Oryctolagus cuniculus: one gene and its partners. The protein of the gene in region 1 purifies or fractionates together with the protein of each later gene. This does not show direct contact. Links are inferred from orthologs where the notes say so. Each region holds a gene or a part of one and is shown in the gene's direction. Other genes may lie near its edges. The genes, in order: STK3, RASSF6, MAP1S, MAP1B and RASSF3.

The links.
Region 2: the proteins of STK3 (region 1) and RASSF6 purify together in Homo sapiens (affinity purification with mass spectrometry; 4 studies listed by BioGRID and IntAct, counting the BioPlex papers as one, with this or other methods). This does not show direct contact. The link is inferred for Oryctolagus cuniculus from reciprocal best matches to the Homo sapiens genes STK3 and RASSF6.
Region 3: the proteins of STK3 (region 1) and MAP1S purify together in Homo sapiens (affinity purification with mass spectrometry; 3 studies listed by BioGRID and IntAct, with this or other methods). This does not show direct contact. The link is inferred for Oryctolagus cuniculus from reciprocal best matches to the Homo sapiens genes STK3 and MAP1S.
Region 4: the proteins of STK3 (region 1) and MAP1B purify together in Homo sapiens (affinity purification with mass spectrometry; 4 studies listed by BioGRID and IntAct, with this or other methods). This does not show direct contact. The link is inferred for Oryctolagus cuniculus from reciprocal best matches to the Homo sapiens genes STK3 and MAP1B.
Region 5: the proteins of STK3 (region 1) and RASSF3 purify together in Homo sapiens (affinity purification with mass spectrometry; 4 studies listed by BioGRID and IntAct, with this or other methods). This does not show direct contact. The link is inferred for Oryctolagus cuniculus from reciprocal best matches to the Homo sapiens genes STK3 and RASSF3.

What each region holds. Positions count from the first base shown.
Region 1 is NC_091437.1:124,029,577-124,032,278, reverse strand, and holds the end of STK3 (serine/threonine-protein kinase 3), read left to right. Parts: intron 1-827; coding exon 828-986; 3' UTR 987-2,188; downstream 2,189-2,702. UniProt on the Homo sapiens protein: Stress-activated, pro-apoptotic kinase which, following caspase-cleavage, enters the nucleus and induces chromatin condensation followed by internucleosomal DNA fragmentation.
Region 2 is NC_091439.1:92,036,899-92,040,418, forward strand, and holds part of RASSF6 (ras association domain-containing protein 6), read left to right. Parts: intron 1-2,158; coding exon 2,159-2,301; intron 2,302-3,520.
Region 3 is NC_091447.1:65,423,459-65,426,243, forward strand, and holds the end of MAP1S (microtubule-associated protein 1S), read left to right. Parts: intron 1-1,598; coding exon 1,599-1,834; intron 1,835-2,063; coding exon 2,064-2,219; 3' UTR 2,220-2,274; downstream 2,275-2,785. UniProt on the Homo sapiens protein: Microtubule-associated protein that mediates aggregation of mitochondria resulting in cell death and genomic destruction (MAGD). Plays a role in anchoring the microtubule organizing center to the centrosomes. Binds to DNA. Plays a role in apoptosis.
Region 4 is NC_091445.1:38,862,925-38,867,092, reverse strand, and holds the start of MAP1B (microtubule-associated protein 1B), read left to right. Parts: upstream 1-1,352; 5' UTR 1,353-1,664; coding exon 1,665-1,848; intron 1,849-4,168. UniProt on the Homo sapiens protein: Facilitates tyrosination of alpha-tubulin in neuronal microtubules. Phosphorylated MAP1B is required for proper microtubule dynamics and plays a role in the cytoskeletal changes that accompany neuronal differentiation and neurite extension.
Region 5 is NC_091442.1:66,842,597-66,845,492, forward strand, and holds the end of RASSF3 (ras association domain-containing protein 3), read left to right. Parts: coding exon 1-101; intron 102-2,110; coding exon 2,111-2,359; 3' UTR 2,360-2,377; downstream 2,378-2,896.

The sequences.
Region 1 (2,702 bases):
AAACAGGGTTTTAGATTTTTTTTAATGTTAAGAAGATAAAAGCACGTTCAGTGACATATTTCAGGACATCTCATAAGCCCTTAGACAACATCCCTAAAATGTGTTTCTCAGGAGATAATCCATATCTTGCTGTTTCAACATAGAAATCGATACAGTAAAGCTTGGCAAAATGCCATAAATCCTATTATGCCTCAGAATAGATGTTATCGCTCTTACACACGTGACGTGAGACCTGTCTTCTGCCGTTGTCCATACCCCCAGCGTGGCCGCGCTCTGCTTCGTGTCCACACGCGCCAGGCCCACGGCAGTACTTGGGGAGCGCTGTTCGTACCAGGCTGGCACACCGGGGACGCTCATTTAAAACCATGTTTTATCAGGCTCGCCATGGGATTTCCCGACTGTGCTTAAAATGTGCACTTACGGTCACATGGAGGATCATGGCGCTGCCCAGGGCCTCATGGGACATTCCTGGGGTGACACTGCCCGTGGCCAGGCCTCTGCCGCTCCGAGCTGGGCAGGCCACCCAACAACCTGTTTGTTGGCGGGTTTGTCTTTGTGCCTTTTTTTTTTTTTTCAACAGATACATTTTTCTCCTTTGCTCTGTCCCAAAAGCAGAGGTTTTGATCATTTTGTTGCAAATTACTTGAGATTCTTACAAGATCTGGCTTCTGGGTTCTTTAGGGAATGGATTCCTGTTTGAGCTGTTGAACCATACTTCAAAACCGTTGTAAAGAATTTGCTGAAATATTTATGCTAAAACTCTTTAGTCTTGGACATACAGTAGGTGGTTTTACTACAGTAACATCTTTGTTTTCTTCTCTGTCTAGTTAAAAAACCTGAGTTTAGAGGAGCTGCAGATGCGGTTGAAGGCGCTGGACCCCATGATGGAGCGGGAGATCGAGGAGCTCCGACAGCGCTACACCGTGAAGAGGCAGCCGATCCTGGACGCCATGGACGCCAAGAAGAGGAGGCAGCAGAACTTCTGAGCCGACCTTTTCCTGTTTCCATGGCTATTCTGGAGACCAAGAAACCACTAAGAATTGAAGGAACATTGTGATTTTTTTTTGTCTTCTTAATCCCTTAGATTTACGCTCTAGGCCAAAGTCCAAAACTGATGATGGTACATACCCGGGTAACTAAAGGCAGACTCTCCAGTTGTTTCCACTGTGTTCTCATCTTTAAGTGACCAGAAGTGTGTTCTCCCCGCCCCCCCGCCCACTGCATACCAGCAGCAAAACCATGTTCTAGAACAAAGGCTATGTGTAGAGACCTTGAAAATCCAAAGCTATTGTTCCATTGTACAGCACTGAAGGGCTTTATGTCACAGTACTTTTTATTCCTATCTAGTAGCCTATTTATTGTATCTCACTAGGTAAACTTATTTATTTATGCTATTTCACATTGTCTTATTTTTTAAGGACAAGATCAGGATAGAGTAGGAGCAGGTGGGGACATTTTAATAGATAATGATGCACAACAAAATGATACTTCCAGCAGGGAGCTCTGGGCTACCTTCCTTGATTTCCAAGATAGTTTTTCAATACCAACAAAGCAATAATAGTAATAGTGCCCAAATGGATAGAGCATTTTTTATATTGAAGCAATAATTCCATTTTTACCTTTTGAGATTTTGTTTAATTGTTTTGATTTTTGATGTTTGCTACAAACAGAACTATATATATTTAGGTCAAACAGAGCTATAATGTTTAAAACCAAAGAAATCAGTGGAACCCTTGCACAAAAAAGCATGGGAAATATTTTAAAGGAAATTAAACCTTTTGACAAATGTACTTTGTTAGCGTTGTTTTGTGTTTCATGTGTAAGTCTGATAGCTAAACTGAATCAAACTGTAATAGCTCATCAAATTTATTTCCATGGAAATGCGTTCTATTGACACAGGACTTTTTGTTGATTTCATTTATTTCCTAGGAATTGGTAAACATCTTGTGCCTGATAATAAAATAGCAAAAACATTTGTACTGGACTGTGCAAGCCTTGGAGACTAGGGAAATAAAAAAGATTAAAACCGTTACAAAGAAACTCACTTCCAAGGGAAATGCGCACTGGTGAGACTGAGCTGGGACCACGTTTCCTAAGCTGCCTGTAGCTGTGCTGACAGTGTTCACTCTGGTGTGTTCGGTTACTACGTGGAAATCATGAAGACAAATACACTTCACCCAGCACTTTGCATCTCGTTATCTTTATTATCACTAACGTGGGTTTTTATTAACTAACATGGCGACTCCTCACTCAGCCCATCCCACGTGGGCGGTGCTCTGCTGCTGTCATCCACACTCGGGGACCTTGTGGTCATCACAGCCAGGGATGGGAGTTGGGGCGAGTCTCAGGCCAGCTCCAGCCTGCAGGAAAGCCTTGCCGGTCCTCAGCAACCTGGTATTCAGAACGAGTCATGAGGCCTCCCTCACTTTGCAAGGAGCTGGGAAGTGCGGCGTGCAGCCCTGCAGAGGGAGGCGGGGCGGACAGGCAGGTGAGCTCAGTGATGCCTGCCACAGGAGGTTCATCCTCCCTGGGAAGCTCCCCTTCCTTTTGAAGATGCATGAGTGCCCCAGGTAATACCAATGCAGTTAGATACAAATGATGAGATTGGAAAAATCGTGATGAATATTGAAAAAAAGGTTATTAAAAATGAAGACTGAACTTAGAATATATGTTTCAGCTCTCCCTTGATTGAGGTCTTTTGG
Region 2 (3,520 bases), on another chromosome or scaffold:
GCAGTGGAGGATGGCCCAAGTGCTTGGGCCCCTGCACCCGCATGGAGACTGGGAAGAAGCACCTGGCTCCTGGCTTCTGATCGGCACAGCTCCAGCCATTGCAGCCATCTGGAGAGTGAACCAACAGAAAAAAGACCTCTCTCTCTATCTCTTCCTCTCACTGTCTGTAACTCTACCTCTCAAATAAATAAATAAAATCTTAAAAAAAAAAAAAAAAGAAATACGTGGTTGGGAGCTGTTGGTATAGAGATGGAATTCAAAGCGCCTGGAGGTCACCAAGGACATCGGTACAGATCCAGAGAAGAGCCCTAGGGATAGGCAATAAGATTAGGTGTAAAAAGCCTTCAAGTGAGTTTCTTAGCCAGCCTCTAAGGAGATATTTTCTGATGGTAGATGGTAGAAAATATTCTGAAATCCCTTGTCTCGAAAACACATACCAATGCTTGATAACAGATGGAGTAGTCAATTCTAGAGAACAAGAATTACATCACTTCAGACAGTAGTTGTTCCATGAGGTTTTTATGTAAAGAATTAATTAGAGTCTCTTTGGACAAAGAAAGGATGTTATGCACTAATAATATAGAATCTGCATTGTGTGCTGACATTTCAAAGAAAGACCTTTGTGTTGGGTTGTTGAAAACACTTGACCTCTGAGTAATCCGAAATGAACTAACTGAAAAATGGGACAAAGAGCAAAACTTTGTTTCTAGAGTGGCTTAAAGACAGTTTACCAGACAAAGAAATAAGCAGCAGTAATAATTACCAAGCACATCTGGAGTGCTTGCCAGGTCCTGTGAATTAGGGATTCTCATAATGTCCATTTTTCCGAAGAGGAAGCCCAGACTTCAAAAGGTAGTCAGCAGCTTGCTCAAGGCCGAGTAACTAGGAAGCAGCAAAGCCAGGGTTTGAACACAAGTCTAGCTGATTCCAACGTCTGGCATTTTCTTTATTCTCTTAAATAAGAATTGAGTCATTCATGTTGTCTAACAGTTGAATTTTCATAATAACAGTAGCTAATTGTTGTCATAATGGTTACTGGATGGTTGACATATAACTCTTCTTGCTTCTATATTTTCCCACGTTTCTATAACAATTACACATTAATTACTTTAATAACAGAAACAGACTTACTCCTATTAAAGATAAAAATAGATTAGAAAATAAGTTCTATGGGAACATTGTTCTCAGTGTTGTTTAAAAACAAGTAGTGTTCAACACATGTTTTTAAATTTTTCTTTAATGCACAGCATTTTCTTCTTTTATTACACTATTTCTAACTTAAAAGAATTTCCAGGGCCAGTGCTGTGGCATAGTGGGAAAAGCCGCCACCTGCAGTGCCGGCATCACATATGGGCGCCAGTTCCAGAGCTGGCTGCTCCATTTTCAATCCAGCTCTATGCTATGGCTTGGGAAGACAGTAGAAGATGGCCCAAGGCCTTGGTTCCCTGCACCCGTGTGGGAGACCCGGAAGAAGCTCCTGTCTCCTGGCTTCAGATCAGCACAGCTCCAGCAGTCACAGCCACTTGGGGGAGTGAACCAACGGATGGAAGACCTCTCTCTCTCTCTGCCTCTCCTTCTCTCTGTGTAACTCTCACTTTCAAATGAATAAATAAATCTTCAAAAAATTTTCCTAAAATTCTATTGACTTTTCAAAACTATCACTTTGATAGTGTTTTGGACTTTACAGTGTGTTTTCACATGTACTCTGTATACAGAATTCTCATGTATTCTGTATAACTTTTTGAGCTAAACTTTTCTTGTTCAGAAATAAGAAAACAAGTGCTAAGTGTCCCGATAGTTCTTTCCTATGATTTCTAGTCCAGTGCAATTTTAAAACCTGCTTTAATTTTAAATTAAACAGAATTACAGAAATACAGAATTCCACTGAATGGACGATTCAGAGTTCAGACTATCTTAGCATACTACGCCCTCTGGTGGATGTGCCATTAGCATTGTGACTAATTTTATTGGGTATGGTTTTCAAAAATAGAATATTTCAAAAATAAGTCTTTTGTAGATAAATTAATAAAAATCATTCTTGGGATTTTTGAATCTGTTATTGTTTCTCATGAACTTAATTTCCACAACATCAGTTAAATCATTTAGCTTCTATAAATCATACAAAAACAACGTGGGGGAATATTGGTTTCTTCCTTAGGCAGAAGATGGCAACCTAATTGTGGAAGGAATGCTGGACATTTTCTGGGGAGTAAAACGACCTATACAGCTGAAAATACAAGATGAGAACCAAATCTCTCCTTTCACTACGTTGAAGTCTCCAGAAACCTTTTCCACCAAAGGGTAAGCCATCTTTCATGCTTTTAGTTCCTTAGATGATATGTATATTTACATTCGTTGTATGCACTCTGAAAGAGGGAGCTGATGCTTGTTGGTAAATGCTTACACAGTGGATTTGAATCCCCTGTGAAGTAGGAGTTTGTAAGTCAGGACTCTGCAAAGTTATGTAATTTGTGCAAGCTCCCCGCTAAGGTTGGCAGAAGTTAGAACCTTAGTTCTACGGGCAACGGAATCTGAGCTCTGAATCCCTTTACAGTATTGCTTCTCTCCTGAGAGTCTACGTTCTTTCATTGGGAAAAAAAAATATTGTAACCCAGGATTTGTTTATCCCTATCCTAGTCTCCTAAACATGGGGCAGAATTTAGACATCTCTCACTGGAGCAAGGGATTCTTCCTGATTTCTAATAAAGACTTAATCATGCCAGACCTGATTGTTCTGATCCTGCTCAACAGAGCACAGCAAAGTGCATTAGAAGTTAAATAAATACGCAAAACAATTTCCTGTATGGCTTACCTTGAATATCCAAGTTGAGCTGTTTTCTTCATTATTCCTTCCACTTATCAAAAAAATTAATTAATAAGTATTCCCGACAGGAATATACCTACAAAATTCCCTCCTACCTCTGCTTCTCCCTTCCTTCCTTCCTTCTATTTTTTTAAATTCTTGACTTCCAGCTCTTCTCCCATCTCTACATGAACACTGAGCTATGAGCCTTCTCTTCACAGCATTCTGTCCTCCCATTCATTGTTAGGGTGAGTCAGGTTCTCTCAGAGGGGAGGACAGGAAAAGGGCTGCCAGGACAATTTGCACAATGTGGTCTTTGGCCACAATAAGAACAAACAGCTGTCACCTCAAGGGAAGTCTGCTTTTCATTTGGAGAAAACATTTAAGCCCCACGATGACTGTTGGCTTGCCAATGTTTCCAAACATTATGCCCCAGCATTAAGAACATTTTTAATTCCCTACACATATTGTTCAGGTTCTCATTCTCCTGAATCTCTGAGCAGGAGACTACCAGCTTCGAGACACCTATTTGCCATCCTTTAAGACTCAGGTCAGGTGACATTTTTCAGAGAGCCTTTTCTGGCCCTTCAGTGTGTAGTGGGTACATTGACACTTATCTACATCACTCTCAGAGCATACAGCTTCCTGCATTTTTATGAACTGATTTCCCCCTCTGTAGTGTGAGCTTCAGGATGGGAGAGAAGAAGCTTTGTTCAT
Region 3 (2,785 bases), on another chromosome or scaffold:
GAGGCTCGGGTGCCCGGTGGCTGGGCCGGGCTGGACCGGACCGGCGCCCCACGCGGCGGCTACACCCACCGCCCTGGGCTTGGTCCTCCCGTGGCTGCCGGCGCCCCCTTCTCTGTAAGGCGGGTGCCGCCCCAGGGGGCGGGGCCGCAGCAGGTGTCACTCAGCGTCGGGGCTGCGTGCTCCCGCCCGCGCTGGGCAGGGTCTGCGGGCGCCCCGCGTCTTGCTAGGCCTCGTCGTTCTGTGGTTTGTTTGTGTAGTTAAACGGCGGCCCTGACGCACGGGGGGGGGGGGGGGGGGGCAGCTCACTAAGGTGTTGATTGACTTCCGGCATCTTCTCCCGCGCTGGCTTTTCTTTGCAAGGCATAGAGAGGTTCGGTACCCAAACAGGAGCTGGGATTGGACCAGGCAGGAGCCAGGAGCTCCATCCGGGTCTCCCGCGCAGGTGCAGGGACCCAAGCACTCGGGCCATCTTCTACTGCTTTCCCAGGACTGAGCAGGGAGCGGCCCGGAAGTGGAGCTGCCGAGACTCGAGCCGGCGCCCACGTGGGATGCCGGCGCCAGCCCCGGCCCCGTACTGGTCGCTTCCTCGTCCCGCAGCCAGGGTCAGGGCGCGCTGCGTCGGTCACCCGGGATGCGGGTGTTCGGGGGTGTCTCCTCCGCTCAGCGTGTTTGTGCCTGGGGGTGTTTGTTCACCACCCCACCCCCCCAGCTGGCTCCGGCCCGGCCATGCGTGGCTCAGGAGCCTGGGCAGTGAATCCCCGTTTTGCCCCCGAGCCGCTGGCGAGTCCAGGCTCCGGTCACCAGGGCCACCCCGGGTTGGCCGAGTCTGTGTGTCGCTGTGGGCTCACGTGCAGGCCCTGCTTGCTTGCCCCAACCTTTATCGCTCTTTTTGCATTTTTTTAAGAATTTATTTGCAATGCAGAGAGGGAGAGAGAGGTCTTCCATCCGCTGGGTCACTCCCCAAATGGCCAGAACAGCCAGAGCTGTGCCAGGCTGGAGCCAGGAGCCAGGAGTTTCTTCCCGGTCTCCCACGTGCAGGGGCCCAAGCACTTGGGCCATCTTCCACTGGTTTCCCAGGCCACAGCAGAGAGCTGGACCGGAAGTGGAGCGGCTGGGACTTGAACCCGCGCCCCTGTGGGATGCCACACGGCAGGCGGCTGCTTCACCCGCTGAGCCCCGGCACCGGCCCCTCCTTTGGCCTCTTCAGCCTCAGGGCGGGGGCTGCAGCCTGGGGTCGGGAGTTCAGGGCCTTGTCCGTGGGTGGAGAGGCGGCACCTCCTAGGGTCTTCCCCTGTGACTGCCAAGGCCACGGCTCCACATCAGCATGGGGGGGGCTGGGCTGCTCCCTGGTCCGTATGACCCCCGGGCCTGGCGCGCCCCCCCGAGTGGACGCCACACAGCAGTGTCCACTTCCGGGAGGCAGCCTCCCCCAGGTAGCCCTTCCTGATTGACTTCTCGCTCTCGCTGACCCTGTGGCTGACCCCCGAGGCGCAGCTCCTGGCATTGCAGACTGACTAAAGGATTGTGGTCTGCGAGCCCGCTGAGGGCCTGGAGCCCCGGGCGCCCTCGCTCACCGCCGACCCGCTTCCTGCCCTCAGGCCCCGCCGGCAGCCGGCCCGGAGGCTCAGCCGCCGCGCCCGGCTCCCCCGTCTACCTGGATCTGGCCTACCTGCCCAGCGGGAGCGGCGCGCGCCTGGTGGACGAGGAGTTCTTCCGGCGCGTGCGCGCACTCTGCTACGTCATCAGCGGCCAGGACCAGCGCAGGGAGGAGGGGATGCGCGCCGTGCTGGACGCGCTGCTGGCCGGCAAGGAGCGGTGGGACCGCGAGCTGCAGGTGCGCACCGCCTCGCCCTGGGCCCCCTGGCTCCTGGCCACGCCCTCGTGGGGCGGGAACAGGCGGCTTCCGGGCGGAGGGGACCCCTGAGGGTCGGGCTCCTTCCATCCCGCCTCTGCTTGGCCTCTGCACGCTCACAGGGGCCAGTCAAGCGCGGACTTCTCGTTCCCGGCGGGGGGCGGGGCCTGGAGGGAGGGGGCGCCCCTGACCGTGTACTGCCCCCCCGCAGGTGACCCTGATCCCCACCTTCGACTCGGCGGCCATGCACCGCTGGTACGAGGACACGCACGGCCGGCACCAGGCGCTGGGCGTCACGGTGCTGGGCAGCAACAGCATGGTGTCCATGCAGGACGAGGCCTTCCCCGCCTGCAAGGTCGAGTTCTAGCCCCGCCCCCGCCCCGCAGCCCCGCCCCCGGAAATAAAGCCCCTGCGCACCCCCACCCCGGCCTGGACGCTTCTTCCGGCGGGACCCCAGGCCTCGGCGGCCTCCTCCCCGGGCCTTGCAACAGCAGAGGGGCCGCCGGCGCCCCCTGGCGGTGACCAAACCCTGCTTGAGACGAGGGTTCGAGAGGGCGTTGGGAGGGGGCGGCCCAGCTGGGTTCCGGGCCGGGAGAGGCTCCACTGGAGACGGGAGACGGAGACGCAGGGCAGGGCCGGGTCCTCTCCCGAAGGCGCAGGGCAGGGGTCAGCCGGGCGTGGACCAGTGCGAGCAGCCAGAGGTGGGGGGAGCGGGTCTGGGGGGGGTTACGGCCACGGGGCAGGTGCACCCCAGGGGAACCACCCAGCGTTGTGGGGGCGCAGCGGGCTCAGTGCCTCCCCAGACTCCCACATCCGGGACTGGAGCGGCCGGGTTTGAGTCCCGGCCGCTCCACGTCCCACCCGGCTCCCCCACGTGCGAACCCTGGGAGGGGAGGGTCCCGCCGGGTCCCGTCCCCCCATGTGGGGGGCCTG
Region 4 (4,168 bases), on another chromosome or scaffold:
GTAAAAGAAAACTACCACAGACATCAAAGTAATAGTGGTTCAGAAGGATGGAAAAAAAAAATCAGTAGCCAAGGCTGAGCAACAATGACTCAATGGCTGACCTCTGGAAAACTGCTTGTCACTGAGTCTCCTTCGCCCGCTCTGAGCTCGGGTGCTGGCCTCCCCTCTCCACCAGTAACTGGATGTCTTGCCCAGCTGGCTAGGAAACTTTCACTCTCTGGTTACCGGTGCCTGCAGCTTTCCAATGGGCTTGTCGCAGGTCCCCAAGTGCTGCTGGCCAGGCAGGATGGTGGGCTGCAGTGGTTGGCTGCCTGTCATACCCCCATTGCAGGGGCTCAGGAAAGCCATAAGAACCAAGAGTGTGTGACCCGTAGGCACAGCTGTTGACAACTAAGACACTGGCTTACTCTGGAAATCTTGGAATATCCTCTGTTTTCTTGAATATGCCATCTAGTAGTAAAGCTGTATTGATTCCTCTTCCCCCAAACTCCAACTCCCACTGCCCCTCCTTCACCCCTTCCTGGGACAGAAGCGGCATTCCATCAATTGGGGAGCAAGGTTCTAAACCAAAGGCAATACAAATCCCTTGTGCTACATCTATTTTAAAAGACATCATGGCCACGTAATTTTGCTTGTGTGTTCCCCAGGGAAGTACACAGTACATTATGGTCACTTACTCCTGCTGAGTGGAGACAGCACCTTCTCTAGATTGTTCTGCCGGATACTATCTGCTCTATTAGTAGGAACAGAACATCTGTATCTCAGATAACACATCTGTTTTCCTCTCATTCCCATGAGCACTGCAGAGCCAGCACTTGGTTGCTTTTCTTTTTTTTTTTTTTTTAATCACTGGCCCTTGCTGAGTCCAAAGCCTGAGCAGCAGTCGGCCTCGGCTTTGCATTTTTGACGTGTTCGTCCAGGAAAGAGACGACGACTGCTGTTTGGAATATCTAGGTAAACAGGTGTAAATGCACAAGGGCAAAGCCAGCAAGTTCCGTCTCCCTGGGGGATGGGAGGGGGGTACCCTCAGCTGAGGCCGCCGCAGCCTGCACAGCCCCTGAGCTCCAGCCCAGGCAGGTCAGGAGGCAGAGGCCTCACTGTGCACCTCGGACAAGGCGGCCGGCTGCACTCTGCACAGGGAAACGCATCCCACCCTCCTGCACGGCCGGCGGCGGGGGCGGGGGTGGGGACGGGTGCGGGTGCGGGTGCGAGCAGGGGCTTGCGAGTGTCCTCCCCCTTCGGGTTCCCCAGCCCCTGGGCTCGCGGCCCTGCCCAGACCATTGTCCGCACACCTCGTCCCTCTGGCTTCCGGGCCGCGGGCGAGATGATTTGCTGCGGATGACATCAGCCCCGGGCCAACGGTTGGAAGAGCGGAGCCTGCCACCGCGTGAGGATGTGCCGGGTGGTCCCTTCCTCCTCCTCCTCCTCCTCCTCCCCGGCTCCCTGCCCGCTGTCCATATAAAAGCGGCGCCGCCTCCCCGCCCGCTCTCACTGCCCGCTCCTCTCCGCCGCGCTGGGAGAGGGCGGAGGGGAGGCGGTGCGAGGCGCCGGGAGGAGGGGGACGCAGGGGGCGGAGCGCGGACGGCACCTTCGGGGATAATCCTTTCTCCTGCCGCAGAGGCGAGCGCGGAGCGAGTACTGCGCGCAGCTCAGCGGCCGGCAGGATGGCGACCGTGGTGGTGGAGGCCGCCGAGCCGGAGCCTTCCGGCGGCGTCGCCAACCCGGCGGCGTCCACCTCGCCCAGCTTGTCGCACCGCTTCCTCGACAGCAAGTTCTACTTGCTGGTGGTCGTCGGCGAGATCGTGACCGAGGAGCACCTGCGGCGCGCCATCGGCAACATCGAGCTCGGTAAGCGGCCCCGGGCGCGCGCAGGCTCGACCCCACCCAGGGCGCCGCGGCCCCGGCCCCGGCCCCTCCCGCCCTCCGTCTGGGGCTGGTTCCGAGAGCGGTACGAATGCCCAGGTCTGAGACCCGGGGCGAGGTCGCTAATAACCTTGAGGGACCTGGCACTGGGCGAGGTCCGCTGCGTGGAGGGCAGGTGTCAGGGGCGCAGAGGCCACAATACCGCCGCAGCCCTACGACCAAGGGCGGGGCGGGGCACACCTGGGGCTGTAACTCCAAGAGCGGGTACCCCGCGTGGCCAGCGTCTCAGCACGGCTCCCCAGCCTCCCAGAAATGCCCTTTCCGGCTTAAACCGCCCGATCCTTTCTTTCCCTGGGTGACTCGGCGGGTAGGAGGGCCACGCCCGCTCCCCCACCCCAGGGCGCAAGGATGGAGAGCCACCCGTGCCGGGTTCCCAGACGAAGCCCGTCTCCCTCCCGCCCCCGGGGTCCGCAGTCGCAGCTTTTCGAAAGGACAATGGGACCCCCAAGCTGCAGGGTGGGGCCGCCGCTTCTCCGAGTCTCGTCTTCGGAGGAGGGGGCGGGGGCGTCGCGGGGAGGGCCTGCCCCTCGCCGCGGTGCGCACCCCGAGCGTGCCCCGCAGAGGCCGAGCAGCGGTGCCTGGGCAACCCAGGGCGGGGCCCCGAGGGTCCGTCGGGTGCCGGCCGAGCAGAGCCGACCCGGCTGCCGCAGCGCCCCCACCTGCCCGCCGCACCTGCCCCCCGCACTGCGGCGCCCCCTCCTGCGGCTGCCCGGCTGGGTGGCCCTCAGGCCCCCGGGGGCGCCGCCCCAGCCCCCGCCCGACCTCCGCAGCCCCGCCGGGGGCCGCGAGTCCCGCCGCAGCCCTAGCCCGCGCTCTATTCTCCAGGGTGGTGCTGAAGCGATCCTGCCGGGAGCCGCGGGCTGGTGGGCGTGGTGCAGTCCGCACTGCGGTCTCTACGGCAGCCCGAGGCGGACAAAGGGCGTTCACGCAGCGCTCGTTCCCGCTCCCCCATCCCGAGAAAAGACGAAAGAAAAAAACCTGGTTTTAGGCGAAAACTGAAGCGCTCGTTTTGCGCCTCTGTGTTTGGAAACGGCCAGGGGTCTCCAGAACAAAAGGCTGCAGGGTGGGGACGGGCACTGCAGACCTGGTTCTTTTGTTTAACTTTAAAGCGCTGATTTTTTTTTTCCTTGCAGCTTCAGAAAAATCTGAGCAGAAAGCACTAATGATACTTTATTTGAAAAAAATTCAAGAGCAGGAGGCATTTCCATAGTGAAGTGGCCTGAGCATCTCAATAACCCTTCATTTTGAAAATATAGGCCTTTGATCTGATGTGATTTAATTTAAATTTAGATTTTTTTGGGGGGTCCCCTGTTTTTCCTTCGTTTCACTCGTACCGACTTTGGGTGTGGCCATTGTGGGAATGAATGACTTCGGATTTTTTTTTTTTAATATCGTTTGTCTGCAACGTTGCCGGGAAATAATAGCACATCAGGGGGGTGGCTTTCACGCTATAAAATCTGCATCAGCACCCGGTGCGGTGCCAGGAGTGGGACCCTTGCCCCCATTTCGGAGACGCGGCCCTGACAGGCAGGAAGGCTCAAGGTCACAGCAGCCATGGGGTGACTGACAGAAGCGCAGTACTGCAGCGTCACTCTTTTTCCGACCCTGTCATGATGGGAGCGCCGGGCCGGCGGACATCACAGGGCGATTTTCGTGCCGCCGCGCCTGCCTTTGTAGAGTCATCCACTTGTGGGCAGCGCCCCGAGCGGGGAGCGGGGAGCCGCTTCAGCAGGCACCTGGCGACCGTGGAGATCCGCGCTGCTTTGTTGCCCAGCTGATCACCCTTGCGGTGCCTCGGTCCCCAGGGGGCTTACTCGGGCAGCTTCGACGCACTGCTGGGCTTTTATTCTTGTTCACAATGTCAGGGCTCCTAGATAACTCCTGACTTAGAAATTAAAAAAAAAAAAATTTGTGCACAGTATTATGTAGAGGGAGAGAGCGAACCTCACCCACCAGCAGTGCCATGAATTTTCACAAATGAGTGCCCCTGTGCCATCCAGCTCAGGAAAACACATTCCCAGAATCCCGGAAGCCCCCTCGGTGCCTTCCTGATTTTTAATTCCCTCCTTTGGTCAGGTGTTTGCATGGAACTTCAAAATGGCTGTATTGATCCCATTAAACATCACCCGAGTGAGTGAGCAAAAGCCATTTCCTTCCGCAGCCGTAACAGATGCTGCTCCCCGCTCCCCTCCACCCGGAGATTGCTCTCCTGGGTCCTGGGGTCTGGATGCAGCTGCAGCCATGG
Region 5 (2,896 bases), on another chromosome or scaffold:
GCAAGCTGTCAGACCGGGAGCATCCACTGTACCTGCGTTTGGTGGCAGGGCCCAGAACAGACACACTTAGCTTTGTTCTTCGTGAACATGAAATCGGAGAGGTAAGTGGTTGTTCATTATTGCTTTAAACTGAACGGAGCAGCTGGCCCTGTTTTATTGTTCCAGTCTGGTGGCTCGGCCACAGGGAAGAAAGAGCGAGAGGGGCAGAGGAGTGGGGGAGAGAGAGAGGAGATTCTGAATGAGTGAGCCCCAAGTTAACCTGCAGTGTAATTCTCTTACAATACTGTGTTGGTCTGCAATTTTCAGAGGTCGGAGGAAGTGAAGATTTTAAATTTCCATCTAGAGAGTCATTTCCATCCCTTCCTGCCTCCACAGCACTCTTACCCAGCTGAACTTTGAAAGTTGACACTCTCCATATGTTTGCTACTTAACAGGAGTCTTCAGGCCAGTTTCTCTCTAAAGGGCAATGTAGGAAATCTGATCGCTTTACCACGAAAGACATTTGACTTTGGAGAGTCTCCCCCTTCTTTGCCCAGTCGAATCATTAATAAATTCTCTGAGTGCATCGTCTGCCTTCTGTTTCCAGGAAGATTGTACTGGGGCCAGTTCAGAATAAAAGCTCTTGAGACTGTCCTCTAGAAGTATCAACCTGAGAGTGACACGAGAACACATCTCTTAAGCTCTGGGCCTCTGTCTTTTGTTTAGAACAGGAGACGATATGGAAGGCGATGCAATGTGGATGTGTTTTCTAGGTTAAAGGTTACGAAACCGTGGGGCAGGCATTTGATGTGTCAGTTAAGAGACCACGTGAGATGCCTGTGTCCCATATCGAAGGACACAGATTTGAGTCCCAGCTCCTCTGGGAGGCAGCAGGCAATGGCTCAAGTACTTGGGTTCCTCTACCCAAGTGGGAGATCTGGGTTGAGTCCCAGGCTCCTGGCTTCAGCCTGGCCCAGCCCTGGCTGTTGTGGGCATTTAGGAAGTGAACCAGCAGATGGGAGATCTCTGTTTGTCTTTCTGATTTTCAAATAAATAAAATTTTTGAAGTTAGGAAACCAGGGCCCTGCTTCCTACTGTATACAAGCCTCAAGGCTTGACCATGGGTAAATCTTGCAGTCATAATGCCCTCTGTAAAGGGGAACTGGGCTGTCTGAAAAGGTGCTCACCGATTAGACATGCATGTAAATGTGCTTTGCAGATAGTATGCTGATGTGTAAATTAGCACTCAGCTCAGGAAGTTTTAGGAAGATTGTGACTTGAGACATTTTTGAAGTTCCTTCTGATCTTGAAGCTTTTAAAGGAATTCCGACTCTGGTTTTGGAGAGGGAGCTGGGTGCAGAGGTCTCATCTGTGCCCGAGAAAGCCCAAGCCAGACTCATTAGCATAGTCTTGTCACTGGTTTATTTTTCTTGCTATAGGGCTTTTAAGGATTTCACATGGTTTAAAGCAACCCTGGGGAGGAATTAGGTTAACTTAGTTTTAAAACTTACTGTACATTGTGTTTCAGGGCTCCAGACTGCTTTCTTGGGCCTGTGTGTGGTGTTCTTGTTCCTCAGTTATTTAAGGGAAACTAACCTGAGGGAGGAAAGCTTCCATAGTTGTCAGGACAGAGGGAGAAGACCCTTTATAATGCCCTTATTTTGAAGACCTTAACGTACAGTTTAATTATGACAAATTCACAGAATATTCTTTTTTGAAAAGATTTATTTATTTGAAAGTCATAGTTACACAAAGAGAGGGCAGACAGAGAGACAGAGAGAAGTCTTCCATCTGCTGGTTTACTGCCCAGTTGGCTGCAACGGCCAGAGCTGCGCTGATCTGAAGCCAGGAGCCAGGACTTGGACCTTCTTCCACTGCCTTCCCAGGCCATAGCAAAGAGCTGGATCAGAAGTGGAGCAGCCATATGGGATGCTGGCACTGCAGGTGGTGGCTTTACCCGCTACGCCACAGCGCTGGCCCCTCACAATATTCTAATGTAATATTTTGCTCTTCTGTTCCATGTTTCTCACTTTACAAAAATTATTTTTTAATTTATTTATTTGTTTTTAAATATTTATTTATTTATTTGAAAATCAGAGTTAGAACTTCTATCCACTGGTTCACTCCCCAGATGACTTCAACACCAGGGCTGGGCCAGGCTGAAGCCAGGAGCCAGAAGCTTCATCCTGGTCTCCCACGTGGGTGCAGGGGCCCAAACACCTGGGCCATCATCTGCTGCTTTCCCAGGCCACCCTCAGGGAGCTGGATCAGAAGTGGAGCAGTCGGGATTCCAGCCGGCGCCCATATGGGATGCTGGCAGTGCAGGCGGCGGCTTTACCCGCTGTGTTACAGCATCAGCAGCCCCTTGCTTGAGTCCTGACTCCGAGTTCAGTACCTGGCAGGATTTTGTGTGTGTGTTGTTTCACAGTGGGAAGCCTTCAGCCTTCCAGAGCTGCAGAACTTCTTGCGCATGCTGGACAAAGAAGAAGACGAGCAGCTGCAGAGCCTGAGGCGGCGCTACTCTGCCTACAGACACAAGCTGGAAGAGGCCCTGGGCGAGGGCTGGAAGCCCGGGTAGAGCGGCCGGCTCCCTGCCAGGAAGGCACGCGGCGGGACCCACGCACCCAAGTGCCTCGCTTTGCAGAGGGCTGTGTGCTCGCCCTGGGACGCTAGGGTCTTCCCCCTTTTCTCTCTAGATCTAGTTCCTACGACCTGGTCACGCAGCCTCCTGCACCTTTAGCCACTGTGTAAGGGACTCTGCTAGCTTGTTCCATGGCAGCGAGCGGGGGCCCGCAGGCAGCCTTGGCAGGAGCGCCTACAGTGCTTGGAAGCATGAACTCTGGGTTTTTGTGTTCTTATCTTCTTTTAGGTTGTTGTAGTTCTGTGAGGATGATGTTAAGCTTCAGGATGTGCAGAT